4 linked regions of the Lonchura striata genome follow. The protein of the gene in region 3 binds, or shares a complex with, the protein of the main gene of each other region. Links are inferred from orthologs where the notes say so. Each region holds a gene or a part of one and is shown on either strand. Other genes may lie near its edges.

Region 1 (7,556 bases), on a different chromosome or scaffold from region 3:
AAGATGTCAAGTTATGACTTGTAGATCTTACCAGGTCCTGAAGTTCTCGTAGTTGTTTTCCTGTAAGTCCCCCAATTCCTAAGTCATCATCATCTTCTTCAGGCTGGCTAAGAACATTTCCAGAAGAGGGGCCCTGTTTGATAAAGAACTCTTCATGTTGGTCTAGTAGCAATCCATGCAGCATCCAGGCAGAGAGCTGCTTATACATGACTCCATGACACACAGCCAGAATCCTGAGGTCAAGCGAAACGGGTCAGTCAGGCCTTTGCACACAATAATCAAAACCTCACTGAATGTTGTTTCAGAAAGTTCAGTTGGTCAGCCAGGCAGTAGGGCAAGTACTAAGTCGTATCCTCTGAACATGTGACTTCTCCAGGGAAATCTGCTAGTATACCAGAGGTGTAAGTCTGCAATGGCTTTTGTTTCTACTCAAAACAGGACGTTTTAAGTAGTTTGACTTTCTCCACAAGGACATACAAACATCACAACACTCACACATTCACATTTATCATTTTGAAAGATCAAAGATCAGTGATATGCAGAATAGCCTTAGATATGGAGAAAGACTTCATTCTCACCACAAACCTGCTTTAGATAAATAATGGGGATGGTGACAGTCTTCCCCTGCATGGTACTCCTAATTTTATACCATGCTGTTTTGCACGTACTGTTCCAACAAGTAAGAAACACTTTGACACTAACTTCAGAAGAATGAAGTAATAGTTTTACTGGATCTACATACTTTTCAAGAGCACTGCGAACAGGAGGCAGCCCCCCACAGCTGTGTTTGTGGACTGTCTCCAATATCTGGCACCCATGAATCTGCAGAAAGAAAAGGTTAGACCAGGTCTGTTATTTGGATCTGTACTGACCTTTTTATACATTTAAACATTACACTTTCAGCTAACAAAAAAATGCCTTCACAAACTGAACAAGTCTTACTGAAAGAAAGATGTAACATGCTGGTGTAGTGATGAAAAAGACCTTCTATATGTGGCTCTACACTCAAGCTTCTCTCAATACTTTCCCTTAAAAAATGTAAGCATCTCTGGATTCTCGAAACATTAGCCTCTGCCTTTTTTATTTCCAGCAATGGCCAGAGAAAACAGACTCAGAAAATAAAGATTCCCACTACCAGCATCCTGTCCTATAAAATTCAAGACATCAAAGATTATGGGATAAGAGAAAAAAAATCAAATACAATGTAAATGAATTTGTAAAATAATCTCAGTACTTACAGTAGAGCTAGTAATAGGGCACCCATTACTGAAACGACATTATTTTCTACTTTCAGAAATATGGGATGGGGGCAGAAATTACTTCATCAGTTAAAGAGAAAACCTGTTAAGAGAAACTAACTGCAAGTTTACTGTACCTTCTGAGTTTTGATCTGTTCCACCATGACCATCACAGAGGGGAAGAGTAACTGAAACTGCAGAACAAGTGAAATATTGATGTAGGTTGTTATGTAAGGAAGAGAGAAAAAAACTGTACTTGAGTAACTGTGGACAGCAGCTGAACACAATAATTTAATAAAACTATTACCTGTCTTTCCTCACAAATTAGAAACATGACATGCAAATTTCTAGGAAGTATGTCTTCCCTTCACTGGACCAAGATGCACAAAGTTACTATATTCCAGCAGTAGTTAAGGCTAAACACAGTCAGTGAGGAATGTGTGAGGGTCAAGGTGGAGTACCTTAGTTTTGTGCTGAAGTGCAGGTGATCCTCTGAGTACGATTAAGGGACTACAGATGTAGAGACATTAGATAGAAATGACATGACATGATGGAACAAGCCTCGTTTATCCCACCCACTTTCTTATTAGACTCAATGAGGGATGACAACAAGCAAAGAACACTACTTCTTTAATAACACGACATACCTGGTCCAAGGAGTAATTAACATGTGAGATGGAAAGGTGTGGGTCAGCCAGAAACTATAAAGATAAAGCAATTAATGAAGATTAATTATCACAACCACTAAATGGTGACGCTACCCAAGGTATGACAGCTACTAGTCTAGCAGAGATTAATCAAAACCTCTAAAATTGAAAACAGAAGCCACAGTAGTCTGAGACAGCACTGGGCTAACAGAGATGGAGCCCTTACAGAATTGAAGGTAGAGAGGATAACACTTAATAGAATGAAAAGTAATTTACAATGGCATCTCACAGGAATAATTTGGAAGGCATTCCTAACGTGGAAAGGAAAATACCTTGTTTCATCTTAGAAACTACTACTAACATATTAATTGCAGAAATTACAAGTTTCCACAATCTGCCAGCAGCACTACAGCCTCTTGTTCTGTATCTCTCTCCTTTACCTCTTGTTCCAGGTCAAGTAGTGCCTGTCGATAAGGCTGCAGCACTGAATCAAGACCTGTGCAGAAGGCTCTCAAATAAATGCCATGCAATCCACTCTGGTTTTGCTGAGATGGATGGTGATCCTGAAACCAAACAATAAAATCTGCCTCAGCATACTCGTGCAAGTCTGAAGAGTAATGTAGTATCTGTGCAGTGCCACAGCAGTTGTCAGTGCTTTAAACCTGTTGAAATGCACCTTAGCTCACCACAAAGTGATCAGAAAAACAAATACAACCTTTTCACAATGACAGTTACTCGAGCAGACTGATGTTTAGTTCTTTTGTGGACCTCTGAAAGTGCTGGGAGCCTTTGGTACCAGTGCTTCTTTTCACTTAAGTGTGCCTCTTGGATCTCAAGGCTCTTCGCACATCATGAGGAGATAGTCATGAGCATCCCGCTCAATTGACAAACCCTGGCCAGTCTGCTGTGGTCAGAAATTATTACAAGACGTCCCCAATAATAAGATTTTACATTTGATTCATTATTCTTCATTGCTCTCTACCCTCCCTTACAAGCATCGCGAAGAGCTTTCTGGAGCTCTGCTCGGTGGTGGTGCGAGCGCGGGTATGGGCCACGGACCACTGCTGTGTCCTGGGCAGCTTGGCCTTACTGGCACCTGCCGCGCTCTTCCCGGGCAATACCTCGGCCCAGTGACCCCACCTGCTGCTGTACATGTCCCGTGTACTGCTCCACGAATTCGGCGAAGCGGATGTAGTCGGTGCCGAGGCGGCAGAGCCGGTTAAGGACGCTGGTCTCGCTGGGGTGCAGAAACGGCAGCTCCTGAGACACCTGGAAGAGAAAACAGCGGTGAGGAACGAATGGGCGGACGGACGAGCCGCGCAGGCCGGGGGGTGGGGGGCAGGGGGCAGGCGGGGCGGGGTGGGCTTTGCCGGGGCCGTGCCACACCTGGAGGCCGCCGCGCTTGCTCCAGGTGAAGGCCGCCCCCGGGTAGCCGCTGAGGGCCAGCAGCAGCTCGTGGATCATCCTGCGGCGCGGCGCCGCGCGGGCTGCCGGGAGCGGCGGGGCCGCCGGGAGCGCCGGGCGGGGCTGCGGCGTGCAGCGCCGCCGAGGCTCTGATGGCCACCGTCCGTCCCGGACAGCAGAGCTGCGCTGCCCTCTACGATACGCCTCACGAGGTTTCTTTATCGCTTTCTCAGGTTATTTGTCAGTGTTTTATCAGCGCCAGTTTTACCTTTCTCCATTTATTATGTACTGCTTTCCTTCACTTCCTGTCGTAATCCGGGTAGACTTTTATTCAAAACTGTCTAGTTTGAAAACTATGAAGTCATTTAATAAAGTGTTTTTTAGCAGCCTCTTTTTCATTTACCCCCCCTATTTTTGACAGTTTTTTCCTCTATGTACATGTTTACTCTTCTTCATTTAGAAGAAATTGGTGTTTAGTCTTAAGGGTCATCTAATTTGTATTTGTTTCAGCTTGCCACAATAAGGTCTGAAGGGTAGGAAGAATATGGGCATGTACTAGCTATAGCTATACAGCTTTATGTGTAAATTGGAAGCCCCAACATTGTTGTTTATCATATATGAGGAGTATAATAAAACTATTGTCTTTCTGTTGACAAAACTTCTAGCATCATAATAAAGACTGAGGAGTTGGCCTAGACATTTGTTATGCATCCTTGACATAAATATCACAGTATACAATTGGTCTGGAAACCTCTGCAAAAGAACAGATAACAGTAGTTTATTTAAAGGATTTCGGTGCTCATTTTCTCTGGGAAACCTAGTGATTAGTCATTAAAGCAAAAATCTTAAAAGAATTTTTTGGTTGCTCAAATTTTGAAATGAGAGAAAAATAGGTATCTCTATGATATTTGCAGGGCCATCTGACTAGTGCTCATTAAACACTAGGGGGGAAAAAGACAAGGAACAGGATAGGCAATAAATTAGGCACACAGATACACAACTTTTAATAAAAACATTTTGCAAAGTCGATAACAAGCACCAGAAATCTTAAATCAGGGGAGCTGTTATAGGTACCATTGAGTCCAGCTTTGAAGAGGTTCAGAAAGGTTCTTTGATGACATGTAATAATCGTGTTTTATTTTTCTTATCAGAATGAGATGTTTTTGAGGGAGGTTTGTGGCACTGTGCAAAAATGTTACGAGATTTTTAGGGGGAACAAAATGAATTCTGCACGCCACATTCTACATATAAACATTATTTTAAATGTCTTCTCATTGCATAACTTACAAGTGGCTACATGTGAAGTAATGCAAATGTTAATAAATAGAATCCTAACTGTATTATAAAACCTTTTGTTTTGTAATTTATGTCTGGCATTTCCCAATGTAGTTATTTCTGTAACCATTGAATTATGTCTTCCTTTAATCAATTCAGTTCTCTAAGATTGTTGAGTCCAACCAATGATCGAATGCCACTTTGTCAGCTAGATCAAAGCACTAAGTGCCACATCCAATCTTTCCTCTAACACTTACAGGATGATGTCTCCACCACGTTCCTTGGCAGCCCATTCCAATATCTCACCACCCCTCCTGTGAAGAAATTCTTCCTAATGTCCAAGCTAAACCTGCCCTGGCACAGCTTTAGGCTGTGTCTTCTTGTCCTGTTCCATGTTACCTGTGTATATATAGTAAGTAAATATACTTTTTGATGGGCTCATGGAATCACTGATTTTGGAAGTGACCTCTAGAAGTCTCCAGTCCCACCTTGTTTTCTCAATACCAGGTGAACTCAAGCAGGTTTGTCCAGGACTATGCCTAGTTAGGCTTGAATTTTCTCCAAGGACAGAGACTCCATAACTTCTCTAGGTAACTTGTTCCAGTGTTGAGTCACCTTCAGAATACAACTATTTTTTATTCTATTGAAATGGGACTTTTTATATTTTTCAGTCCATTGCCCACTGCTTCTTGGCATGTTCTCTCGTGCTCTCCTCATATGTCAGATGCTCCAAGCCCTTAATCAATTTCACTGTAGTTGTTCCATTATGTCCATGTCTTCCTTGTACTGAGGGAGCTGAAACTGAATCCACATCTGGGAAGATGAGAATGATAGATTGACTCCTTTGCCTGCTGGGGATGCTTTTCCTAACAGAGGCTATTGGTTTTCCAAATTACTTAATGTGTACTTAGGTAGTAAATGTATGCCCTAGCAGTGAAATTCATGTGACTAATTAAAATGGACACCTGGTGACTGACACTGTCAGTACTCTGACCCTTGAACAAGAAATAGGCAAAGCAACAGTAATATGTACTGAGGGGAAGGAAGTTTTCAGGGCATGATTCTCCTGTGGCAGTGCTGCTGGATGTTGCTATTGTTTAGGGGCTTCCACTGCTTCCACTTGTGGTTGACATTTCATATGAGTTACCATGGTTTGGTCAGTAGAGCTGTTTATGCTACATCCAGCAAGGCCAGGTTTTGCTACTGTGAAGGGCTATGCAGCTGAGGAACCTGGCAGGGCAAGAGGGCTTAGGCGAAGCAGCATGTGGGAGGCAGCCGGGCTTTGGAGGCTGAGCTGTACTGCACACAGTGGGGCGCACGTGGGCTGCGCACACATGGCTGGGCTGAGAGGGTAAAATGTGGGTCATGACCAGGTTGACCTGGGCTGTGTCCCGCGTATGCTGGCAGAGTTTAGGTGAGAGCTTAGCTGGGTGTTAGTTATGAGGCTAACAGACAGATTCAGAGCCAGGGCGCTGGCCCTGTGAGAGGGAGAGGGACCCCGGGGAGAGACAAGACGGCCAAGCCGTGTCCTTCAGGTTTACGGGACGGGCCGAGCTAGATTGGGGCCTGGGTCCGGCCGGAACGGGACTGCGCAACTCATCCTTTCCAGCAGCGCCGAAGGTGGCGGGGACGCCTCGGGTGCGGCCGGGGCGGGGAGAGAGAGCGCGGCGGGGCGACTCCTCCCCCGCCACACCCGGTGCGGCAGGAAGAGGAACAGCCGCGCCCAGCTCCCGCTAGCCCCAGCCCAGCGCAGCGCCATGGCGGCGGAGGACGTGGACGGGCTGGCCGTGTCCCGGCCCCACTATGGCTGTAAGTATCGGGATCCCGGGGTGAGGGAATCCGCGTGGCCGCCAAGCGACGCCCAGTCCGAGCCGTCCGTGCTTTCCAGCGTTCAGCGCTGTGAGGGGAGGCTGGGCCACCGCAGGCATGGGGGGAGCCGCGGGCTCCGGGACTGCCCCTCGGGCACGGTGTGCCCCGCCGGCTCTCCTGGCGGGCCCTGTCGAGCTGCGCCTCCCGCGAGATGAGCGCCGTGCCGCGCGGGACCTTGTCTAAGCTCGACAGTCCTCCTGAGGGTTGGAGACGAGTGCTGGGAGAAGGCAGTGGATGAGCAGCAACGCGACGTCCCATGACTGTGCGGCCGTCGTCTGCCGCGGGCGAGCCTTGCACCTCGCCCAAGATGTCCGCCGCGGGCGGGGTGGGGCGGGGGCGGCCCTGCCTTCCGCCTTCCCGCCGATTTTGGCGACCACACCCGATTTTCTGGGCGAAACACCGCTCCCATTTGACACCTTCATTGCCTTGTCGTGGGCTTGCTATGGAGAGGGAGGCTTTGGATCTTAGCGTCCGATGTGCGGGCTCACCTACGCTACTATACCGCGTCAAAAATGACCAACGGCGGAGGAAAACGTGGTGCTGTGGAGGGGCGATGTTGTAAGCGACAGTCGGTCCGACCTGGTCTTTTAACATTCCAGGGATGGGGCTGCCACAGCTTCTCTGCCTCACTATCTTCTTGGTTCAAGAATTTCTTCCTGTCATCTGCTCTAAATCTCTCCACTTCTAGTTTTAAACTGTTCCCCTTTGTCCTATCAGCATTTCCCTCTTCCTTTTATAAGCTCCCTTTTAAGTACAGAGAGACCACAGAGAAAGCCCTCTCCAGGCTGAGCAACCCGTACTGTCTCAGCCTGCCTCTGTGGGAGAGGTGTTCCAGGCCCCGGAGCATCTTTGTTGCCCACCTCTGGACGTGCTCTAGCAGGTTTTGTGCTGAAGATGCCAGTGTTCCTGCTGGGGTCTCACAAGTGCACCATAGATTGTTGTTGAAATTATCTTAGGTATAAGCTAACCTTTGCTTTATTAACAGTATGAAACATTTCCTATTTGTTAAATTGGTCCATGATACCTAAAAAAGTTGACATGAGATGTATTTAGCTGTAAGTATGGGAAGAGAAGACTTTTTTACTGAGACTTTGAACACACAAAATCTAGAAGATTTAGGCAT
Region 2 (7,523 bases), on a different chromosome or scaffold from region 3:
AGCTCCTCCAGCTCCTGCAGAGACATCTTGGAAGTGGATGAGGGGATGGAAAAATTCGTGCTGCTGCTGGTGGCTGCATTTGCTGCGAGTTCTGCCCTTTCTTTAGCATTTTGTTGCAGATAGTGGAGTGTCTGTACACAGACAAACAAAGAAAAGGTTTTGTGAATGCTGGGCAGTACAATCTAAAGCAAGAAACACACGGCCATACCCTGGCTGTGCTGAATCTAACCACAGATCTCTCTGTCCCAGTTTTCCATGTCTTAGGGAATTATATCAAGAGGAGCACAACTCTCAGTAGCGTTTTAATAACTCAGTGAGAGCTAGTACTGGTTATTTGTTGATTTTTACAGATTTCACTGAACTTTAATTCAAGCTGGGCTTGAAATCATTGCATTGTTGCAATTCTTCAACATTCAGTTCTAAACAAGGAACCAACCTCTTTGTCTTCAGTGAGCTTGGACAGCAGGTAAACTAAAGAATCCAGATGTCTAGTGTTTTTAGACTTCAGCTCATCATACTTCTTTAGAAAATCTTCAGGAGTTCGAGAAAACTCTGCTATTTTCACCTGTAAAACACCACGTTAATATTAAATGGAGTTACAATTAAAATGAAATGGAATTAGAGCAAACACGCAGCTCGGGCTACAAAGATGCCAAGTTTCAGACAGAGTTAGAAACTCCCTAGCACTTAGAGCTCGACTGGTGGCTTGCTTTTAAAAATGAAAACAAAAAGCAACCTTATAGCCATAAAAGCTATCTGAGTTATATAGCTATAGAAGAGTCTGGTCATGAGCACCAGGCTTCAATCTCTAATATTTGGGTGATATTCAGAAGAAAAAAGCCACATGTTAGTCATATAACTGCATTTTATACAATTTTCATTTCATCATGGAAGCAAGGAAAGGTTTGGGTGGGAATGTCAAGGTGATCTTGTTCCATCCTGTACCACGGGCAGGGACACTTTCCACTATCCCAGCTTGCTCCAAGCCCCATCCAGCCTGGCCTTGGACACTTCCAAGGATCCAGGGACACAGCTTCCCTGGGCATCCTCCCAGGAAACAACTCCTTCCCAATATGCCACAAAACAACCTCCTTGTTTGAATTTTCCCACACCCCAGTCCTAACAATCCTCTTCTCCCTCAAGGATTCCACCTCTTCCCACGCAGACCTCCCACTTCACACCCAGAACCGTGGCCCCAGACCCCACCAGAGATCTTTCTCCCTAGATGGACACCAACAGGACGAGCTGCTGTGCCCAGAAGAAGGGGGCAGGACCTTGGCACTGTGGGCAGAGACGTTGGTGGTGACGTAGGGCGTGCGGTTCTTCTGCAGCAGCTCGATGTAGACCTCGGCGCCCTCCCCGTCGTGCACCCGCAGCAGGCTCAGCAGCTCGTTCACGTCGTGGTGGATGCGGAACTCGCTCATGCTCCCAGCTCGGGCCACCAGCCCTGGGGACACGGCAACCAGGGGTTATTCCTGCTCCCAGGGGTTATTCCCGGCTCCCAGAGGTTATTCCCTGCCCCGCCAGGGAGATGCTTCTGGAACGTGGAGATGTTTGGCTGGGATAAAGGAGGAGGAAGCAAATCAAGCAGGGATACTCCTTGTATGGTTTGGGTTGAGAGGGACCTCAAAGCCCATCTCATTCTGATGCCTCAGGTTTAGCTTTTGTATTTTTCAGGTTCTCTGCTGCTTTAGTGTGTAGGTCTGGGCTTCACATTAAGGGATGGTGAGATCTCTGCACAGAGGAGGGAGACAAAACAATTCCTTCTCTAGCTGGAGACCAAGGACAAATGATTCAAATCTCAGGCCCAAGAGCACAAACAATGGTGAATTGAAGAGAAAAAAAGAAAAAAACCAAGAAGGATGGGACTTCATAACCTAAAGCTGGAATTGGACAATGAACTCCAATGTACAAATGGAGCAGAACTGATCAAAGTGAGAGCCCCTGTGAGCGCTTGTGCATTTTGGGACCATTTTGGTTCATCTTGGGTGCAGCCCTGGCTGGGCTCTGGTGCTGCCCAAGGTGGATCCACTGAAGAGATCCTTTTAATAAATCCCTGCTTTATTCTTTAACTCTGTCTGGCTCTGTTCTATGTCAGTCTTCTCAAGGCATCAGTGCCACCCCTGCTATGAGTAGGGACACCTTCCACTGTCCCAGGCTGCTCCAAGCCCCAGTGTCCAACCTGGCTTTGGGCACTGCCAGGGATCCAGGGGCAGCCACAGCTGCTCTGGGCTGCTGAAGGTGGGACAGCTCCAGCCAGGAAGTCTAAGACTGGGGGAGACTCTTAAATTGGGGCTGGCCAGCAGAGGATTTTTTCATTCAGAAGGAATGCGGGAAGGACTGCTTGGTGTCCTGACAAGCTGACCCCACTGCTGCTTCTGAAATCACCACAAAGCAGTTTTCCCCAAGTTTAGGGGTCCTCCTATTCCACTGCCCACTTTATTAAATTCACTCAAACCCTGGAGAATACCTAAATAACAACTTTAATACTGACACAGAGCCCTGAGATGAGCTCAGCAGGTCAGAGCCTAGTGCTAACACCACCCAGGCTGTGGGTCAATCCTGGAATGGGCCATTCACTTAAGAGCTGGACTTGATGATCCTTGTAGGTCCCTTCCAGCTCAGAAAATCCTGTGATTCTGTAAATCAGACGTAAGACCCTGAGCCAGGAACCATGGAGATAAATAAGAAGCTCCATGTGACACCTTGCAGAGATTGCATCAAGCAGATACACTCCATATCAAACACAAGGACACACTTCTGTTTTGCCAAGATCATGGAATCACTTCGGCTGGAAGGGATCCCTGCAAGCCGTGGTCCAACTCTCCACTCAAAGCTGACTCGAGTTAGAACAGGCTGCTGCAGCCCAAACTTAAATCTCTTTAAGGGCGCAGCTTCCCCAGCACCTGGGGCCGTGATCCCGCTGGGATTTCCCGCGGGCTGCCCAAGTGCCGGGATATGTGGAATAAATAAATAGACTCCACACCCTGGGGTAGTTATGAAGTGGGTGTGTACTGTCAGCGCCCGGCACAAGTGAGCTCGCTCTCCAAGACTTGTGCCCTGAGCTTTAGTCTGACCCAAACCTTTATTCCCAAAGGCAGGGAAGGAGGAGAAGCTGCGGGAGCTGGGCTGGACTCGGAGCGGCCTCCGAGGGCACCGCACCCGGCACAGCGGAGGGATCGCCACCGCCGGCACCCCCCGCACCAGCCCACCCTCCATACCCTGCTTGACCTTATCCCATTCTATTAAATAAATTTAATTCCGTTTAATTCAATTCGATCTCATCCCTACCTGCCCGCCCGGAAACGCCGCCGCTGGCGCCGGGAAGCGCGCCCCGCGCATGCGCGGCGGGCGGCGCGGGAGCCGCCTCAGCGCGCCCCGCGCAGGCGCACTGCGCTCCCCGCCCGCCATGCTGCCGCTGCCGCCGCGCCTCCGCCGCCTCCTCCGTGAGGGGCTCCCGCCGCTCCCGCGGGACCCCCCGGCCCCGCCGCCCGCTCCGCCCGCGCCGCCCTTCTCCTTCGCCCCCCGCCGCCTCCGCCTCGGCCCCCAGCACCCGCTCTTCGAGGTGAGGCGGCGCCGCGGGGCCGCTCCCGGCGCGGTTCCCCCCGGAGCTGCGTTCTGCAGCCCTGCCCACAACCACCGCCGCTCTCTGCTCCTCTCTAGGATGGGGACGTGCACAGGCATCTCTACCTGCAGGGCGTCCTCAGCAGCCTCCAGGAGGTGGCCGAGAGACCCAAGTGAGTGAGGCGGTCTCGTCTGAGCCCTCCCGTCATGGAATCAAGGAATGGTTTGGGTTGGAAGGGTCCTTAAAGATCATCTCGTTCCTCCCCCCTGCCATGGCAGGGACACCTTCCACTGTCTCAGGTGCTCCAAGCCCTGTGCAGCCTGGCCTTGGGCACTGCCAGGGATCCAGGGGCAGCCACAGCTGCTCTGGGCACCCTGTGCCAGGGCCTGCCCACCCTGCCAGGGAATTCTTCCACTGTCCCAGGCTGCTCCAAGCCCTGTGCAGCCTGGCCTTGGGCACTACCAGGGGTCCAGGCACAGCCACAGCTGCTCTGGGCTGCTGCAGCTGGCACAGCTCCAAGCAGGAAGGCCAAGCCTGGAGAAGAATCTTGGTCTTGCCAGACAGGAAGTACTTTTGAGTGCTGTGTGAGATTCACCTATGGATAACCCTTAAAAAAATCACTGGAGTTGTCATCCACAGCTGCAGCGTTTAGCTTAGACAGCTAATTTATTTATTAATGGCTTGTTTGTTCTTCACCGAAGTACCATTTAACAGGAGCCATAATGGTTAATAAGTTTCCAATGGCAAATAATTTTCCAGCTGCCAGCATCACCACGATCTTTGTTCCATTGCACCTGGCATTTAATTTTAAGTATTAGGCACAAAAAAATGCCACAAGTGTTGTGGCTGTAGGTGTGGGCCTAGTGGAAGGTGCCCCTGCCCATGGCAAGGGGTCGGAATCAGATGAGCTTTGTGGTCCAATCCAACCCAAGCCATCCTGGGTTTCTCTGATAAGTCATCTAGGGGGCATTTTTGTAGCTGAATTTAAAGCTTTAATTTCAGCTTAAAGTCCTGATTTCCCTGCAGGGTGTCCGAGTTCAGCTGCCACATCTCTGGCTGCAGCCAGGTGTTTGACACACTGGAGAGCTACGAGCACCACTACAACACCCTGCACAGGAATGTCTGCTCCTTCTGCAAGCGCTCCTTTCCCTCTGGGAATCTCCTGGATATCCACATCTTGGAGTGGCATGATTCCCTCTTCCAGATAATGGCTGAGAAGCAAAATATGGTGAGCTGCCATGCCCAGCCCTTGCCTCGTGCTTGGTATATGCTCGTTTTTTTTTCCAGTTATGTCTTTTTTCCTCTCTCCTCCCTGCCTTTCAGTACCAGTGCCTGGTGGAAGGCTGCCCAGAGAAGTTCAAGAGCAGCAAGGACAGGAAGGATCACTTGGTGACCGTGCACCTTTATCCTGCTGACTTTCGCTTTGACAGGCCCAAGAAGGTGAAAAGGTAACTGCAGAACTTTCCTCCTGTCCTGCAAGGAAAGTGTGAGGGAACTGGGATTGTTCAGCTCTGAGGTGACCTAAGTGTGGCCTTACAGTGGCTGAGGGAGCTACAGGAAACATGGAGAGAGACTCTTTACAAGGGAAATGGCTTCCCATTCCCAGAGGGCAGGGATAGATGGGATATTGGGAAGGAATCCATCCTAGATGCACTTGTTTCCTCATGAAGTACCTTTGACTTCCTTGGCTCTGGGCTCACATGGCAGCTCCTCAGCCAGGATGTAAAATTTTGTCTCTGCAGTGGCTCCAAGCACACAAGCTCTCCCATGGAGCAGGGCAGCAGCGTGCCCATGGATGTGAGCGTGGAGATGGCAGAGCAATTCCAAGTGAATGCCATGGAAACAGGGCCTGAGGAGAACATGGAGATCTCCCAGCCTGCAGCCAGCCCTGGCCCCTCGCTGCCAGAGAAACGCCTCTACAAATCCAGGTCAGTACTTTGGCCTCAGGGGCAAAATGGGCTGGGAGCACTCCATCTTATCAGCCCTTTGCAGCCTGCCTTGGGGTGTTGCTGTGCTGAGGATAAACCAGGCAGGAATCCCAAGAGTGCTTCCAAAGCCATTTTTGAAAGAAGGAAGTGTAAGGAGGAGCAGGACATGGGTACGCTGTGGGAGCTGTGTTTGTCTGCCCACCTGATCTCTTCCCAAGGTATTGCAGGATGTTGCTGCTGCTCTCCTGCTCCTCAACCACTGCAGCTACCCAGGTGTTATATTTAGTAACACCTTGTTGTAAAGAGCCCTCCAGGACAGGAATGTGCAGAGTACACTGGAATCCAACCAGTATTTCACCTGTTCTTTAAATTATTTGGTGATTTACATGTCCTGCTCCTCCAATTCCTTGCTCTTCCCAGTCTGGGAGCTTAAAATGCCCCACAGAGCATTAAGCATCCCAGCGAGCTTGTGAGGGCTGGGCTCCTAACATGGATTAAAGCCTGTCTCCCTTTCCAGGATCCCATCCACAATTTGCTTTGGACAAGGTGCCACCCGAGGATTTAAAGGACCACGGAAAAAGGTCTGAAGGTCGGTGCAGCAGATTTGTGCAAGATGAGCAGGCATGGAGCCAGTGCCACCAGGGATATTGCCAGTTCCCACTCCATGGAATGAACCACCCAAACCAGTTAAAGCTCTGCCAGCATTTGGGCACATGTTCCTGATGGCAAACAGAACTGGCAGCACCCAACTGAGTTAAGAGTCCTCAGGATTTGAGGAAAGGGAATCCAGAACGTGTGGTGAAGTGTTAAGGAAACTAGCCTGCAGCTGAGGCTGCATGGGACTGGGTGTTTTACTTTTTGCCTCTTGAGGGTAAAAAAATGGATTCAAGAAGTTACAAGATGCCAACGTGACTGTATGGAAGCTGGAATAACTGAGAAAAGAAAACGAGGAGAAAAAACCTCATTGGTCCTCAGTTCTGCCTTCCTCCATCTCACTGAAGTCTCCTCTGCACCCTGGAACCTGCTCTGAGAAGTTTGTCTGGGCCAGGAGAAGCATTTTCACTGGGAGTTCAAATAAAGTGTTTTCCAACCAGGTGAATAAATAAAAGAAATTTTTTACAAAATTGCTTCATAGACAATTTAAGTGCTTTTTTGAAGCCCAGGAGAGTCAGATGTGTGGAATGAACCTCCCTTCGTTTGCTGCAAATGGTGCCAAAATCAGGTTGGGATGGAGGTTATTTTCCCTCTTGCCTTTCCTTTCCTTTGTAATTTCATGTTCCTGGAAAAAACTGGAAACAGAGCCACTGATCTTGGGGTCCTGGTGAATCCTGACACTCAAAAATTGTGCACAAGGGGAAAAAAAGAGGTTTCTGGAACAATGTTTATCCAAGAAGCTTAGGATCTATAATTTTAATTTTTTTTCCCTTCCCCCTCTCTGTGAGGAATAGAAGATCAAAGGGGCTTTGAAAAATCCTTGCAAATGGGAGCAGGGAATGATGTTTACGGAGATGCAGGAGATTTCCCAGTAAGTTTTAAAAAGCTTTGCTATGTTTAAAACTCATCCAGCTTGTCCAGCCCTAATCCCTGCTCCGTGGGCTCTGGAGAGTGCTGTCTCCAGCAAGCAAACCCTGCAGCCACACAACTGCCCAGGGACATCTCTCAGCAGGGACTAAAAAGTCACTTCCCAACACTAAAGCCCCGAATGAGGCATTTTTCCCCACACTGGGATATCTGGGAACAAGCAGCAGGCCCCACGCTACTGGAGATGCCTGCAGGCTTTGGCGTGTGGTGGTACAAAGGTTGGGCAGCAGCCCAGTCTGCTCTTCCTTACTGTGTTCAGGAGTTCTGACCTGGGAACTCCTTTTTCCCAGAGCCCAGGGTCCTCGAGTGCCCACCCTTGCTGTTGGGAAACAAATTGTAGTTACTGATTGTCTCTTAGGCCACCAGCTTTTCCCAGCGTCCATGGGCAACAAAGTATTTCCCAGCTGGCCAGTGGCTGTCAAAAATCCGTATTTCAAGCCAAAACTTAA
Region 3 (7,527 bases):
ATTATATGGAGCACCACCTCTTAAATCAGAAGCTTAAATCTACCAACAGGAGAAACTTTCTAAGATCCAATTCATTATTACACTGGAAAGAAAACTGAGACAACTTTCATGATATTCATCCAGTCCATATCCTAAAATGATTTGATACAAAGTGTATCAATGGTGAAATACACTCAACAGTCTCAATATGGAAACTATAGGAGTTCTCAGTTCATTCTTATTTTAGTACAGACAGGAATCCAGATTCACCTAGACTCCAGCTACAGCATTTGTACAATGCTGACTTTAAAACACCTGCTCTACAATGAGATCGTGTACTTTAAGTCATGAAACTCCACATGCTGAAACTCTGAGAAGATGAATTTTGATTTCTGGAAATCCATGACCTGAACAGCAACTCCAAAGTCCACTACTAAATCATCTGAAATTTCCAACACGTTACAATTGAAGCTCACACTGTCAGTGTAAATGCAAAAGGAATGGAAAAAAAGAACAAGGAAATTGCAACATACATACCTTTGTTTCTTCAGTACTTGGGAGCGGCAAGTTCAGAAATTTTTCTGTTAATCTTTTCCAGCTTGCAGCTTTTCCAAGGTCAGAATGAATTACCAATTTTTCATGTATTCTAATAACACAAATAGTATCAAGAAGGCTTTTTAAAAATATATATAAAACCAATGCATTATTAATATATAGACATAAAACTTACCCTTCAATTGTTCTCTCTACTTTATGACTGTTCACATCAAGAAAACGGTGAAATCTGTATAAGAAATCTGTATTAGAATATTTTTAAAAGGAAGCTGAAGTAAGGAAGAAAATAAAGCTGATTTACGTATATGAAGACAATATTACTGGTTTAATAATGCACACTTAATTCAGCAACAGCATTAAGTATCAATAAAATTAAATCTTGACATCTCTTAGCTCAAGAAGGATTAAATATAATTGCCTGAAAAGTAGAAAAAAATTGAATGCAGGTTACATCTAACCACCATTCTAAGCTGAATGGAAAATTACCACTGTACCAGCAAACTAAGCAATTAAAGTATGCTGTCTGCTATGTCAAGTAGATCAAGGAGATCAAGAACTATGTTGTCAAAGGCATTGGTGTCAAAGGCACAAAATTATCTGGGAGCTGCATCACAGGCATAGGCAAAACAAACACCCACATGGGAAGGCCTCTAAACCCAAAAGAAGCTCCTTTTTTAATGGATAAGGGAGAATGTCTAAGTGAAAAGAGAGCTTGATCAAAAATAAAGATAGATATACCTACAAATGTGTATATATACGTATAGGGACAAAACAGGAACTCGTGAAAGGTAAAATGGACTTTGGAGACTAAATTAAGCTACGAATAGGTTCTTCAGATACAGAGATTAAAAGACAGGGAGTAAGATGTGATAGCACTGAGCACAAGGTCAAGACACTCTATATGCCCTCAAAATAAAACCAATGTTTCCAGCAACAGGTGACAGAAAGTGATAATATTCTCATGACCACAGACAGAAAAACTGCTGAATCCCAGTTATGAGCAACAGTTAAGCTAAATAGACTGAAATTCAAAAGAAATATGAAATAACCTCAATTCAAAAGTAATGAACTAGAAAGTGAAACTCTAAGGCAGCTAGCAAGGATTTTTATTAAGTAGCACTGCAGGATGAAGATAGACCCATGTTAAAGAAAATAAAAAAATACTTTGTTAACTACAGACACATTAAGCTGATTTCAACTGTGTATAAGGATTTGGAATAAGAGCATGATAGAATATAGCTCTAAGTAGGTGGCATTTAGATTTAAGAAAATATATAATTTATTACAGCACATTAGCTTACATAGGAAATCATTAATTCAAAATCGTGGTAAGTATAAGAACTGGAAGATTTAGAATATCACACTAAAAAGACAATAAAAAATTAAATTAAGAATCTGTCCTGAAAAGAAAAATCAAGCTGCAGGGAAATTATTAGTGAAAATTCTTTAGTCGCTTACTAAAAGCTTCAATTAATGACTAACATACATGCAAAAAAATATCATTTTTTTAGGCAAGTTGGGAACATCATGAATAGAAGAGTATTAGAGTGCTGCATGGAAATAAATAGGTGGATCAAAGAACTACAGCACAGAAACATCACCAAATCTAACAATACAAATCACAAGTTTCACAAATTCAAAACAAAGGAGAGTTTCTGATACAACCTAAGGTCTCACTGTTTGTAAACGTAATACTAGATAATTTCAGGCTGATGTTCCATGCACATTCTTGGACAACGATTCTGTCATTAAAAAACCTTCCTCTTCCCACCTGAGGGTTTCCTCAACCCAAACTGAGGGTGCGATTTACATGCTAAAATAATTTTATTTGAGCCTATTAGTAGTTAGGATTAACAGATGCAATGCAGTTATGCTACTGCTCCTCCAAAAACGCATTTAATCAGGATGAAAAATGTAAAGTAGTATTGATTTTGCATGGATTAGCTACTAGCTGCATACGATTTCAAAGAGGCAGCAATTAGTGACAGTAGGGGTAATTGAAAATACATCGTGTAAGAGTTTCAGAAGCTTTCACAGAAAACATTCTGAGCTGGAAGGGACCCACAAGGATCATCGAGTCCAGCTCAAGGGGGTTAATACACTGGAACAATAACTGTGATAACTGAAAACTGTGTGAAACTTGAGCAAGGGCAGTTTAGGCGGCAGTCTAAAGGGCTACTACTATGTATTGCAAATTAATGAAGACCACGCTTCTGACAAGCCCAAATAACACCAAACACGTTCTCTTCCAGCAGACCGATAAGCCTCTCACACAAGCAGCACAGCCTTCTTAGCCAGAAGGTTCATCTCAATTTGGCAGAGTCCTCCTCGCTTGCTCTTTATACACAACCATAATGAATCTCCCTGCAACGAAGTTTTGGGCGGCTAAATGAACACGCTGAAAGGCACCTTCTAGCAGAGCAGGAGAAAATCCCTAAAAGACCCAGCTCCAAGCGCGTCGGAGCAGCAGACATAGATCCCGCGGCAGACTCGCACACGGCGGACGGCGCTGCGGCAGCCAGGGCGCACGGCGGGCCCGGCCCCGTCCCACGGCCCGCGGCAGGCACCGGGACCCTCCCTGCTCCCGCTGACCTGAAGTTGGACCAGGCGAAGCTGAGCGCCGCCTGGAAGCGCTCTCCGCCCAGCTCCTCCTCGGGCAGGCTGGTCACGCAGCGCACCAGCGCGCGGACGGCGCGCTCCTGCTCCTGCTCGAAGCGGCCGCGGGGCCCGGGCGAGGCCAGCGGCGCCGCCATGGCCCGGCCGCGGGGCGGGGGGACGCGGGGGACACACGGGGACACACGGGGACACACGGGCGGCACCGCCGGCGCGCCCCGGGCGGCCGCCACCGCCTCCCGCCCCTCCTCTCGCGAGGCTTCCCTGCGCCGCGCATGCGCGTGGCGGAGCGGGGCGCGTCGGCGGCGCCCGTGGCGCGGCCGGCCGGGGGCGGGAGGCGGGAGCGGGAGAGCGGGGCCGGGCGGGAGGGTTCGGCACCGCCGGTCCAGCCCGACTGCTGCGGCTTCCCCCGTCACGGAAAGGACTCCTGTCTTCCGAAACAACCCCGTAATCACCCGGGATCAGTAACTGGCAGTTGCTGATTGATTACAGAATCTCTTCGGTTGGAAGAGCCTTTTGAGATCACCGAGCCCAAACACCACCATGTCCACAAGGCCATGTCCATGTCCAGCCCTTCCTTAAACGCTTCCAGGACAGTGACTCCACTACCTCCTTCCTTTCAATATCTAATCGCCCTTTCTGTGAAGAAATTCCTTTTACTGTCCAATCTGAATTTCCCCTGGTGCACATTAAGACTATACTGTTTGTAGGATGGTTACTCATCCAAAGAAGGACCTGTGTGCTCCTCCCTGACTGAATCCCTGCTTTTGCACAGCTGGAGAAACCACTGTTGGTGGGTGCTCTATACACAGATTATGAGCAGGACATCAGGAGGGCTGTGGGAAACCGATTTCTCCCAGTTCCATGTCAAACCTCTGCTGAGGAGTTTAAAATGCTTTTGTCTGTTGACATGGTTTTGTAGGACTGCAAGGTCAACAGCCTGACTATGAAATTCCTTCTGGAAATAAACTAGCTAAATCAATGGGAAATTGTATTATTGTTCAGTTCCTGTGGAGGAATTGCTGCAGTTGTCTTATCCTTCACTGTTAGGCCTTGTCCTTGATTGAATCAACAATTACCGGGTTGTAATCCACCTCGCCAAAATTTTTTATTCCTCTTCTCCATTAAGAAATACACCAGCACAGTGAAAGGAGTAGTCAGTAGTGGATCAGGAGAAGTGGTACGAAGAAGACCTCAGAAATGCCCTAATAAAGTTAAAATATATTTAATGTACCAACATAATGTGAAGAATTATGTAAAAATGTAGTGGTTAAGATAAAATAACTTTGAAATTCTTCAAGTTAGGGCATAGTAAGAAACACTAGCACATTTTTATCTGGGTGGGCTACAACCTACCTTAGGGTTGAGATGCAGAACTGCAAGGAAGTGGTGGCCTGAGTGTAGAGTGCTCAGCATGAGCATGAGATCAGAGGGTCTCTGCTCCAGAGCCTTTCTTATAAAGCCTTAGCTTAATGCACATTCAAAGGAAAAGTCTAAAACTTTACTGGTGTTCCCCAATCTCCTCTTGATGTTGCCTGTGTTTTCCATATTAGATTAACAGCAGTCTTTTCTTTTTACTCTTTAGCTGATGTAGCCAAACATCAGTCATAATTTGTCCTGCTATATTTTAACTGTCTGCACAGTCAGTAGACACTCCAGTGGTTGGTACTGTAGTAATTAATAACTGGAATACTGTGACTGGCTTTTAAACAAAATTCTTATATGCTGAGACTTTAAATGTTCTTTATACAACATAACTGTGGTTATCACTTAACCCCTATGTATTTAAGCATACCTGTGCTACCCCTGCAATCACTGTTCAGACTGGAAGTTCCAGGCTTTGCAGCATGTGTGTCACTTGTGTCCTTTGTGGTGAGAGGAGTGTGGCAGCCACCTATTTCAGCACTCCATCACAAAAGAAATAGTGATATTTTTGCAGTGAGAAGGATTCCAGATCTTAGCAGCTGCCCTGTCACAAGCTGAGTATCATCAAACATGGACTTTAATGACAGTGGTGTCTGAAAGGTTTCCTGCTTCCCAACTGTCTTGTACAAGTCCATTTCCCTTCATACCACACCCTCAGCTGTGCTGTCTGTGGAGCAGCATGGTGAACCGAAACAGGGAATAAGTTAAAAATAGTCTTGTTTCTGCTTTGCTAGGGGTTTTAACTCTGATTAATTCACTGATCTATTCCTTTGGAGGTGTCAAGAAGAGGGAAGAACTACAATCCCAGGCAGTGGAAAGCCTCCAGGCAATGAAAGTACGTACACCCTTTGTGACTGGTGAATCAGAAATCTGTTGCTGGTTTTCAAAACAGGATACCAGGGCTGGGGCAAATGTATAACATCTGTGCTGCCTCAGTCATGAAAGGCTTTAATGGTACAAATATTTTCCTTTTTTCCCTCATCACAAGCCTCATTTCTATTTTTGTTTTGGTATTGGTATTTGATTTCAGCTGGGTGAGGGAACACTGGGCAGGGAGAAGGGATGAAGACGTGCTCTAGAAGCAAATTTAAACTGGGTTTTTAAGTAAGGTTTAATACTAGGAAGCTTAATAGTTTACTTTGTTATTCCTTTATTTTCATGTGGTAACTGTCTCTTCTCACCCAACTATCCTTCCACATCACACTGCTGGAAATTAGAAGTATTTAAAGTAAAATCTTCCTTTCTCATGGGATTAGATTATATTTGGGAGAGGTGTCCCTTTTTGTCATGTCATATTACAATGTCACCTGTGTCTAGTCACATGTTGGAGGAGGAATTACAATGCAAACCATTGGTGAACTGTGTATCCTTTAGAGAAACTGCTCTGAGCAGGCAACCTCTCCTCTGCTTTTCAATCCTAACTGATGAGCCAATTTGCTGAGCAGCATTCTAAGGCAGGTGAAGGAGTGCATGAGGTGAAACACATCAGGCTGCAAGGGATTGTTCAACAAGCCAACCACAGGAGTTCATGCTTCATGCTTCACTGTTAGCACCTCTGTTACCAACAAAGCTTTGGGTAAATTCCACAGAACAGATGGACAGTATATTTAAAACACTGCATTTGAAGAAGTACTTAAGATTTAGGGATTGGGGGTGTAGTGAATCTATAGAAACAGTCATTTAATAATTAGCTGGGGGGAGGGATACAGAACACGTTGTGGCTTCACTTTAACACCGTCTTTAGGATATATGAGACTGATGTGCTGAGCTATGTTTTTATGGTCATGCAAAAGTCAGTTCAGGCAACTGAATATTAGAGGAGGCTATAGCTCATCTTTACACTATAACTCATGCAAAATTGCCTCTGAAAAGCAAACTGTAACAGGAAGGAGGGCATCTGATAACTTTCTACTGCAGTGTCTTTGAAGTGCACTCTAACTTCTTAAACTCAATTCTTCATTTGATGGAGTTTTGCAACTGAATTTAAAATTTAAAATTTAAAATTTAAAATTTAAAATTTAAAACTGAATTTTAATTTAGGATAGATTTTTAAAAATGCTGAGGTTGATGTTAAGTCTGCATTTTATAATGGTTTACACTTCCTGTTAATTGGATGTATATTTAAATAGACATTTCAGGGCCTTAGTTTAGAGTATCATTAATTGTAAATCCAAAATATTTTTTGTGCAAGACAGATAAAGATTTGGCATAAGGTTCAGCTTAGGTTTATGTGATCCATCCCATCAGGGCAGTAGGTGTAGCTGTAATACCTTGTATTTGCTTTTATGGAAGACCCAGTCACAGGACATAGAAATCCTGTTGTATCCCAACTATCACTATGTCCCCCTGACCAGCAAATTGTTAGAGTATTGAAATATCTGCCAGTGTTCAAGAAGCATTTGGACAATGCCCTCAGATACATGATGTGCTTCCTGGGGCTGTCATATGCTGGACCAACCATAGGATTTTGATGATTCTTATGGTGCCATCCAACTCAATATACTCTATGATCTCTACTGTTACTGAATAGTTACTGTGAACTGTCAGGCTGTAGCATAGTGAAACTGGATCTTCATTTATTTGCTAAAATGATGATGCTTTACTCTGACTTTTTTATTGGATATAGTACATTTTCCTTTACTAATATTGTTGCAAAACGTATTGCAACAATAAAAATGGAGTTGCCCTGGTCACAGGTTTTCTTACCTGTTTGTAAATTGGGTTGGAGAACCATTCTTTTAATCCTTTGTGGGAAGAAAGCTTGACCTCCACAAATGGTAGCAAGTGTTTCAGTTTGTGAAGCTTGTCACAGCAATACTGATTCTGATTTCTCCATTTTTCCCACCCATTTAGTCCCCTAGACAGCTTTACCATACACTGCTTTATTCTTTTCCAAAACCAGAAAAAGAGTAGATGCTTTCATCTTTCATTGTACCCTTTCTAACTAAAAATATA
Region 4 (7,784 bases), about 34 Mb from region 3:
AATCTTTTCTTCTAACTTTTTAAATTTACCTAGAAAACTTAGGGGTCTAAAAAAAAAAAAAGCTACTTAGGAAATTTTTTCTAATGAACACTACTATTTTCTAAAAAATAATGCTGTCAACTGCCATTACCCTTTACTAAAAGAGCCACTGCTGTTTACTTGTCTTACATCCTGTATTTGAGCAGCTTTTATCTTGTACATTTTACCCTAATACTTTCAAGAAAGGCTCAAATGCATAAATATAGTTACCTTTGGAGTTTACATAATTAATGGTAATGATTACCCAATCCATACAGATTAGTTATGGAAACAAAACTCAGAGGAACTACGCTAATCGTAACTGCATAATCATACTAACAATTATTTAATTAAGAATATTAGTAATTTTATCACTGGATAACTACAGTCAACAAGGCACAGTTGTTCAAGACTGACATTGGTAGATTTTAAAGCAGTTATGGGACAAACAGGCGAAGGAAAGCAAAAGGAATGGGAAACCAGTGAAAGCAATGGAAGAAGTAAAACAACCTTCAATTCTTTATATACAGTTAAATGCATATATAAGAATACCTTTAAACATAGACACAAATACAAAATATGCATGAGCATAGAAAAATACTAAGTTAAAAATAAAATATGAAGTTTTCCAGAATAGAAGCAAGATATAGGTTTCCCCTTTCACTTCTCATAAACAGCCTAATATAAGATGCAGTAATAAAAATCCCTGACTGTGATGTTTAGCTAAGCAGTAAAGAATGATAATCCTTTAAAATGCAAGTGAGATTTGTTTTAAAAACCATGGTTACCCCTCTAGTAGTTAAACAGGTAAAATACACATATATGAAAAGCCCTATATATATATATATATACACATCACAAAATTCCCTCTTTCTGTGGGAAAGGCTCAAAGCACAGGTTAAAGGGGGAAAAGCAATATGTTAAGATGATGTTAACAAGCTGGATGTTCCTGTTTACAAATACTGCTGCATACTGTTAAATCTGAGGTTGTAATAATGAGGGGGTATTGGTTAAAGGAAAAATCTATTTGTGATATTATGCAGGTAAGGGGACAAATGGAGACCATAATAAAAACTTGTGAATTTTGGTTGTGTTTTTTTCTTCAGAAGAGTTAGTTTAATTACTGTATTTCTAAGAAACATTTTATTTGTACCATTTCCTGTTTCATGTTCAGTTGTTTTCATTGCCTCCTCTATTGAACAGCTAAAATGAGTCATATCAAAGTACAATCTGCAAACTGAAGTACAGCAAGTTGCATGTGCATCTGACTCTTAAGAACAGATTTATAAGCTTTTTAAACTAGAGCATTACCTTTAGAGCTTCTGTAGCCTTCCGCAGTTCTTTAATAACAGAAGATAAGGCTTCTGGATTTATTCCTTGTTCACAAAGCCGCACACAAATAGACAATGTCTCCATATCCAAGCCAGTGTTTAATATTCTTGAAATCTCAAACAGAACTGCAACAGAAAAAAAAATAAAGCGCTTTAATTCCTACAGACTATGAAATTTCAATGATCAAGACTGTTCTTCATCAACATTTAGATTCTACAGCACTTCAACACTTTGAACATAGCAGGTGTCCTTTGTTGTTTGCAACAATGTTTATGCTCAACCTTCCAGCATAAGCTAAAACCTACAGCTTCTAACATACACACCATGCTTTCCTGGTTCAGGAAATTTAATATTGGATAATAGGTTTTGAAAGAGTAAAAAAAAAAAAAAGTGAAACATTCAACAATTACACCTGCCAATTAGGTAAAAGGTGGGCTATAAGAACACTCTGTGCTTTTGGACTCCAGATACTGATGAAGTCTTTCTAATGTTTGGGTGTTAAGGCAGTGTCTTTGGCAGAGAGACGCAGCAGTTTCTCCGCAACAATTCTGAGCTCTTAACAACTTTGCAGACAACAACTGCTAAATTTCTGTATCTATCCTAAATAAAATATAGTTACACAGGAAGCCTGGGCTCCTAAATCTGAACATTAGTGCACTTTCCCTATCTATTCTCAAAAGCCTTACTTTGTCTTTATATCCGCCTGTTGTCCCTCCTGTCGAAATCATTCCTGAAAGAGTGAATTTGTCAAGTACAGTTACCAGAACTTATATTCTTTGTCCTTCCCAAAGAAATCACTCTCTATCTGCACAAAATGGTTTTACCCTCTTGCAGCATCAGAGAAGCCATAATGATCCTACTAGTCCTGCCTTGCTTCCAGCAGCAGGTCAGAGCATGAAGATCAGTGGCTGAAATGCTAATTTTTACACCAGCTCAACTCATGAAAGTCTGTATCAAAAGACCCATTTGTAACAGCAGCCGTAACTTCAAGGGAAGTGAGGATGCTGAGAAAATAAATTCACATCACTATCCCTGAAACATTCCCCCTAGACTCTACTCCCTTCATTAGGGCATTTTCAGAGAAAGGTTCCACATTTAACAACCCTCAACAGATTTCCACCCTGCATATAAGCTTTCGGTATAGGCGTTTTGTGGAATTCCAGAGTTTCACACTACAGTGCGAAACAATTCCAAAACATGCCATCCTTTGACTCCTCGGCCTTTCTAGTCAGGCTGAAAATGAGCACACGAAACTCACTCACCTGCTCACGTTTCTCATGGCTTATCAGTGTACAAAGTATTTCCCAGTACCCCTTCTCTCACATTCCCCATCCCACAACAAACAGCACCTGAGGTTGGGGTTGGTCGTTGCTTTTTTTTCCATATCAGAATCCATTTTAGCTCTGCAGCACTGACTACCGTCCTCAAAACTTTTTCACTATTACTGCAGTTTGGGCTGTTTTGAGGGTTTTTTTTGCCGTGTACTTTGTTTTTCTGACATGAGCCACGAAGAACAATGGTCGGGGCTCGGTCGGCGCGGGCGCTGCCGCTGACCCCGGCCCAGCGCCGCTCCCTCCTCTCCCTCCCGCGCACTGCCAGCCCCAGGCTCGGCATTTACAGCAACCGATACAAATAACGGGAAACGAGAGCAAATATAAATATATACAGACGCTGAAAAACCCCTAATATTCTATGTTAAATACCGAGCGAAATTTAAAAACGAAACAAAACCATAAAAAGGAAAAGCCACGTCAGTTCCAAAGGCACTCGCTCTGCGGGGGTTGAGCTGTTTCGCGAAGTGAGACGGAGTGAAACAAGAACTACACGCTGCATCCTTCGGCAGCCGCAACCCGCGCCCCTCTTCCCCAGAGACGCGTCCCTGTGCACGGCCCACGGCGGGGCCAGGCGTCCCCTCTCCCTCAGCAGTGGCTGCCCGGGGGTGTCACGCACCGTCCATGGTCTCCCTCACGGCGTTCAGGCTGGCGGCGTTGCTCGCCATGGCGACCCCGCCGCGCCCGGAACCGGAACGCGCCGCGCACGCCCGGGCCCGCCGGCCCCACGTGACGTCCCGGCGCAGCGCGAGCGCGGCGGGGGCGGGCTTGCTTTGAATTCGTGCGGCGGCGGCGCTGGCGATTGGCCCGTTCGAGAGAGGGGCAGCGCTGCCATTGGCCCGACTGTGCACACTGCGCTCCGTGATTGGTCAGAAGCCGCAGAGGGGGCGGGGCTGGTTAAAGGGCCGCCCGGCGCGGCGGCGGCGGGAGCGGCGCGGCGGCGGCCGGGGCCGGGTAACGGCGGCAGCAGCGGGCTGTGCCCGCATCCTCGGCATTCCCGGCGGGCCCGGCAGCGCCTCCGCGGCGGCGGGGCTTGGGAGAGCGCCGAGCGGCTCGGCGCGGTGGCACCGTCCCGGGGAGAAGCGTGAGAAGGTGCTCAGCGGGGCCGCTTCCCCCGGGGCTCCCGTCCCCTTGGCGGGCGGGGCCCGGGAGGCGCCCCCGGCCGGAGCCCCCCGCCGCGGCCCCGCGAGGGCCGGGCCGCCCCCGGCCCGTTGAGGCGGAGGCCGGGCGGTTTTAGTGCCCGGACGGAGCGGGAGCCGCCCGGGGCGTTATTGCTGCCCCGGCCGCTGGGGCTGCCTGGTCACTTCTGGTGCTTAGTTGGGTTTTGTTTGTTTGTTTGTTTGTTTGTTGGATTTTTTGGCTTGTTTCCTTGTTGTTTTGCCCTTATTTGGGTGTTTGCTTGGTTTTTCTTAATCCCTCTTTTCACGTTCTTTCTTAACTCGTCGTCGTAGTTTCTGTTTATTTGTAATTGTAATTTGTACCGGACTTATTTATGAACTTTATGTCATTAAGTCCAACCAGTCCTAACTTCGTTTTTGAAATGTTGCTAGTGCCTTCAGATGACTAATTCTCTCTGCCCAAAGCCTTCAGGGTGGCCCTAAAACGTCAAAAGTGTGATTTCATTGTTTTCCTTAATTTTGTTCTCCTGTTTTTCAGGTATAGCTTGGTGTTATGGGTGATACAGAAGAAGCTAAAATGCAGATAGCACCAGAAACTCCCGGACGAGTCACGATCCTGAATCCTTTTGAAAGTCCCAGTGATTATTACACTCTTCAGGAGCAGATTGTTTCCAGTCCTTCAGTCTTTAAGTCAACGAAATCCTCATCTGTAAGATCTAGTCGTTAGTTATGTGACTGTAAAGATATAGTGCTAATATTTTCAAATGCATTAAGGGTATTTTATTTAGTGTACTTCAACATATGTACCAAGCTAAAGAACTTCGGTGGCATTTGGAGTTTCTTCTCTTCACAGAACTGTGCTGCTTTTAAATACTAATATTGCCACTTAGTCTTCCTCCCTGCCTAAATTTATTTTGTCTTTAGATATTAGAGATTGGGTGCTAAAACCAGTAGAAAGTAGATAAAGGCTAGTTGTTGATGAGATACTCTGGTCCTACTTACAATGCAGAAAACCAGTTTCTACTTAGATGCTGAGTAGGCTGGTTGCAAAACTTGATTGCACTTATGTTGTGAGCTGTTTGTGTATTCAAGTCAATGATTTTGTGTATCTATAGCTGCCTTTTTTTTTTTTTTTGTTGGAAATTATATACTGGTTTGCAGTTGAAATTATTTTCTGATAAGCAGTAGAGGTGAATCTGCTAATGAAACTGAAAAGACTCACTTGGTAGATAATTTTCCAAATATATTTGAACAGTACCTTATTAAATAAAGGGGTGAAGCTTCTTACTTCTGAATTGGATTTTGTTGTGTCCTATGTATGGCATTTATGAGGGAGACATTGCAGAATGTACAGGAATTGCAGCTCTGGTCTTCTTAGAAATGGGAAGTGAAATGGGATTGCTCTATTATTTGGATAACTTTAGTTAGGATACTGAGTTTTTGTGGAACCATCGTTTGGATTGAAGAAGCAATTTCAGTTTGCGTGAAGTTATGCATCTTTAGTAGACCTGTCCATAGGAATTGAGAAGAAACTGACACCTCATTTTGTGAATACCAGCTTAATATTATGTTGTTAATCCTTGTAATACCACTACCAGCAGCTTAAGAAGCCTGACTTAATTCTTTTTAAATAGATCATTTAAATAGAAACACTTTTGATTGCTTTTGACAGAAACTATATGGAAGCTGTGGTTGTATTGTTCCATTTAGATTTGTCCTGTGGTTTTATTTTTCCCTTTTTGAACAGCAAGCATTAAGATGCCTGTTTCTTTTTTTAGACACCAGGAAAATTCAGATGGTCTATTGATCAGCTTGCTCTAATAAATCCTGTGGAAATAGACTCGGAAGACATTCGACGCCAGGGAATGTATTTGAGCCATGCTAGGTAAGTTATAATCTATTTTTATGCAGCTAACCTAGCTTTAATACTAGAACAGTTGTTCTTTTGCTTTATTAACATTTCAGCATAGCATTAAAGACTTTTAATGAAAATCTTCTTACACAATCTTTTACTTGATGTGGATATAATATTTAGATGAGGCTACCTCCATGTTGCTTCCTTTTAATGGTAAGAGCTGCTGATCCACTCTGATTGCAGTTTGGAAGACAACCAAATAAAAGCAGCTAGTGGAAGCAGAAAATGTCTTGCCAGTGATCATTACCAGGCTACCTCTTCTGCTCCTTGTTACAACACAATTTATCTTCTCAGAATGCTCCTTGGTGAGGCTTTGGTCCCTGGGGCTCCTGCAGAAGGGTAGACATGTTGGGGAAACTAGCTGGGGAAGCCCCAGCAGTCTCTTTTGAAGGTATAGACTAGACTTAATGTGAAGGAGGGGGCTCCAGTGCTAGTTATTTGAAGTAGTTTGAGGACCTTATCCTTAATTTTTTTCTCTTCATTGAAAATCTGCATGAGGAAAATGGGTGGGTTAAACAGTCTTGGTGTTTGGAGCTTATCTTGAGAGATAATTTTACATGCGGGTGGTAGAGAATGACATGCCAAGGGGATCCTTAGTGGTGAATCCTGTAGACTCCTGTACATTTCTCAGACATAAACTTGCAGAAAGAACTTCTCTTCATGGTATGAAGCACTACAGCAATAGAATAATAAATCAATCCTCTCTAGATCAGGTTGCTTAATCATATCCACCTTGATCTTGAATGTTTCCAGGAATGGGGCATCTACTCCAAGCAACCTGTTCCAGTGTTTCAATACACATAATAAAAAATACTGTGAAATAACTTAGTGGTTTTAGTGTCTGACCTAACCTACATCTCTCTTTTTGAATAGTAGAAGCTGTAGGACTATAACTGTTCCCAGACTCTAACTGTATCTGAGTCACCAGGTTTTAATGTTTCCTGTCCTTCCTTTAGCACCCGGTAGCACCCAGACTAGTGCTTTTTGTATATTTTGAAGCCTTAAGCCATGTTTTAATTATATTGTTTCTGGAACCTTACTCAGTCAAACTAGCTTTAATGGAGATGACTTGGGTGACAATTCCAGTCATGATGAGTGGGATGGCCTATAGATATAAAGATGTGTTGTCTCAGTGGGTTCTTTCAGTTTGTCCCATGTTCCACAATCACTAAGGTTCATTTTTTTTTAAATCATCTGCTGTGACTAGAAAAAGGCTATTTTGACTATGTGTAGATCTGCTATGTCCATGCTTGCATATTTTAGTGCATACATATAAATGAATACACAGTGATTGTATCCTTGTTTTTTGGTACAATAACTCTGGCAAGTCCTCCATCGAGCTGTCATTTTAGCATCATCAGGCAGATGTTATAGAAGGTGGCATGTCCAAACATTGTACATATATTTCAAGTCTGATAAGAATAAAAGAGAGAGTTGTGAGAGTTTATGTATTTGTCACATCTATGTGTGCTTGTATGTCTGGTACTATCTTGTTATCTGAATTTCTAAAATTACTCAAGGGTAGTTCAGGTTTATGAACTGTGAATGAAAGTACTGAGTGGTTTTGAAGCTTATAAATGATGAACATTTATAAACTTAAAAAAATTTTGCAGTAAATTACATTGTGGTAACTGAAAGTCAGTCTTGAAGGTGACCGTTAGAGGAAATACAAATATAGAATCTCACATAGCATGAAGTAACTGAAGTAACTACAATATTTTTTTTTATTATTAAGTTAAAAGCTGCTTAAAGAAATATAGTTTTTGTTAGAACAAAAATATGGTACTGAAGAAGCTGTGGCAGACTGGGTATTTGACTAGAGAACTCTGTGCTGGGAAAGTGGGCTGTGTCAGGAATTTGAGTATGCAAATTCCAGGAGTATTTTCAGTTGCCCTTTAATTCCTTACACCTCAGTTTTTTAGTCTGCTTGCTTTATAGTACAAGTCTAATCTCATGTGAACTTTAATAGTGATACCTTCATATGACATTATTTTGGAAGATCAGTAATAATTAAGTTTTTGTCCAGATATGCTGTGTAAACAGAATATTTGCTATTATGTATTTTTAAAT

Evidence for each region.
Region 1: the proteins of TUBGCP5 (region 3) and TUBGCP4 are in contact, whole or in part, in a cryo-EM structure (PDB 9I8M), measured with the Xenopus laevis proteins. The link is inferred for Lonchura striata from reciprocal best matches to the Homo sapiens genes TUBGCP5 and TUBGCP4. Residues at the interface, in XP_018102626.1 of Xenopus laevis: His233, Leu234, His235, Leu238, Ile241, Trp242, His245, His300, Met301, Thr302, Asn304, Cys305, Ser308, Val309, Gln312, Ala392, Ile393, Leu395, Asp396, Lys397, Arg410, Leu441, Asp442, Tyr443, Asp444, Asn445, Val446, Gly447, Glu448, Ala449; in XP_018110859.1 of Xenopus laevis: Met1, Ile2, His3, Glu4, Leu7, Tyr12, Pro13, Gly14, Ser15, Ile16, Gln29, Pro32, Phe33, Glu60, Thr63, Gly64, Ile84, Arg87, Ala88, Arg91, Arg101, Leu105, Gln109, Leu112, Pro115, His116, Leu117, Val178, Gly181, Val182.
Region 2: TUBGCP5 (region 3) and TUBGCP2 share a complex: the UniProt entries of both Homo sapiens proteins name them as parts of the gamma-tubulin ring complex. The link is inferred for Lonchura striata from reciprocal best matches to the Homo sapiens genes TUBGCP5 and TUBGCP2.
Region 4: the proteins of TUBGCP5 (region 3) and MZT1 are in contact, whole or in part, in a crystal structure (PDB 6L81), measured with the Homo sapiens proteins. The link is inferred for Lonchura striata from reciprocal best matches to the Homo sapiens genes TUBGCP5 and MZT1. Residues at the interface, in NP_443135.3 of Homo sapiens: Gln14, Gln15, Asp18, Val19, Glu21, Leu22, Val23, Val26, Ala27, Gly28, Asn36, Ala40, Phe43, Ala44, Asn47, Phe48, Arg52, Phe53, Leu54, Phe72, Lys80, Ser83, Trp84, Leu87, Thr88, Glu90, Phe91, Ala106, Ser109, Ile110; in NP_001065243.1 of Homo sapiens: Glu23, Val27, Leu28, Glu30, Ile31, Ser32, Ile34, Leu35, Asn36, Thr37, Leu39, Leu44, Ile46, Cys47, Val48, Arg49, Leu50, Cys51, Glu52, Gln53, Ile55, Asn56, Pro57, Glu58, Ala59, Leu60, Ser61, Ser62, Val63, Ile64.

Annotation. Positions count from the first base shown.
Region 1 is NC_134613.1:24,617,412-24,624,967, forward strand, and holds the start of TUBGCP4 (gamma-tubulin complex component 4), read right to left. Parts: upstream 3,391-7,556; 5' UTR 3,350-3,390; coding exon 3,272-3,349; intron 3,155-3,271; coding exon 3,026-3,154; intron 2,449-3,025; coding exon 2,326-2,448; intron 1,940-2,325; coding exon 1,886-1,939; intron 1,433-1,885; coding exon 1,376-1,432; intron 823-1,375; coding exon 743-822; intron 234-742; coding exon 32-233; intron 1-31. Other genes in the region: ras GTPase-activating-like protein IQGAP1, read left to right, coding at 6,322-6,373. UniProt on the Homo sapiens protein: Component of the gamma-tubulin ring complex (gTuRC) which mediates microtubule nucleation.
Region 2 is NC_134609.1:37,380,913-37,388,435, forward strand, and holds the start of TUBGCP2 (gamma-tubulin complex component 2), read right to left. Parts: upstream 3,336-7,523; 5' UTR 3,292-3,335; intron 1,559-3,291; 5' UTR 1,425-1,558; coding exon 1,275-1,424; intron 566-1,274; coding exon 437-565; intron 132-436; coding exon 1-131. Other genes in the region: ZNF511 (zinc finger protein 511), read left to right, coding at 3,341-3,565, 3,664-3,737, 4,592-4,793, 4,889-5,013, 5,308-5,493, 6,011-6,080. UniProt on the Homo sapiens protein: Component of the gamma-tubulin ring complex (gTuRC) which mediates microtubule nucleation.
Region 3 is NC_134604.1:84,368,441-84,375,967, reverse strand, and holds the start of TUBGCP5 (gamma-tubulin complex component 5), read right to left. Parts: upstream 3,304-7,527; 5' UTR 3,288-3,303; coding exon 3,127-3,287; intron 764-3,126; coding exon 710-763; intron 626-709; coding exon 517-625; intron 1-516. UniProt on the Homo sapiens protein: Component of the gamma-tubulin ring complex (gTuRC) which mediates microtubule nucleation.
Region 4 is NC_134604.1:50,634,883-50,642,666, reverse strand, and holds the start of MZT1 (mitotic-spindle organizing protein 1), read right to left. Parts: upstream 3,397-7,784; 5' UTR 3,350-3,396; coding exon 3,301-3,349; intron 1,476-3,300; coding exon 1,330-1,475; intron 1-1,329. Other genes in the region: BORA (protein aurora borealis), read left to right, coding at 4,353-4,508, 5,578-5,684. UniProt on the Homo sapiens protein: Required for the recruitment and the assembly of the gamma-tubulin ring complex (gTuRC) at the centrosome.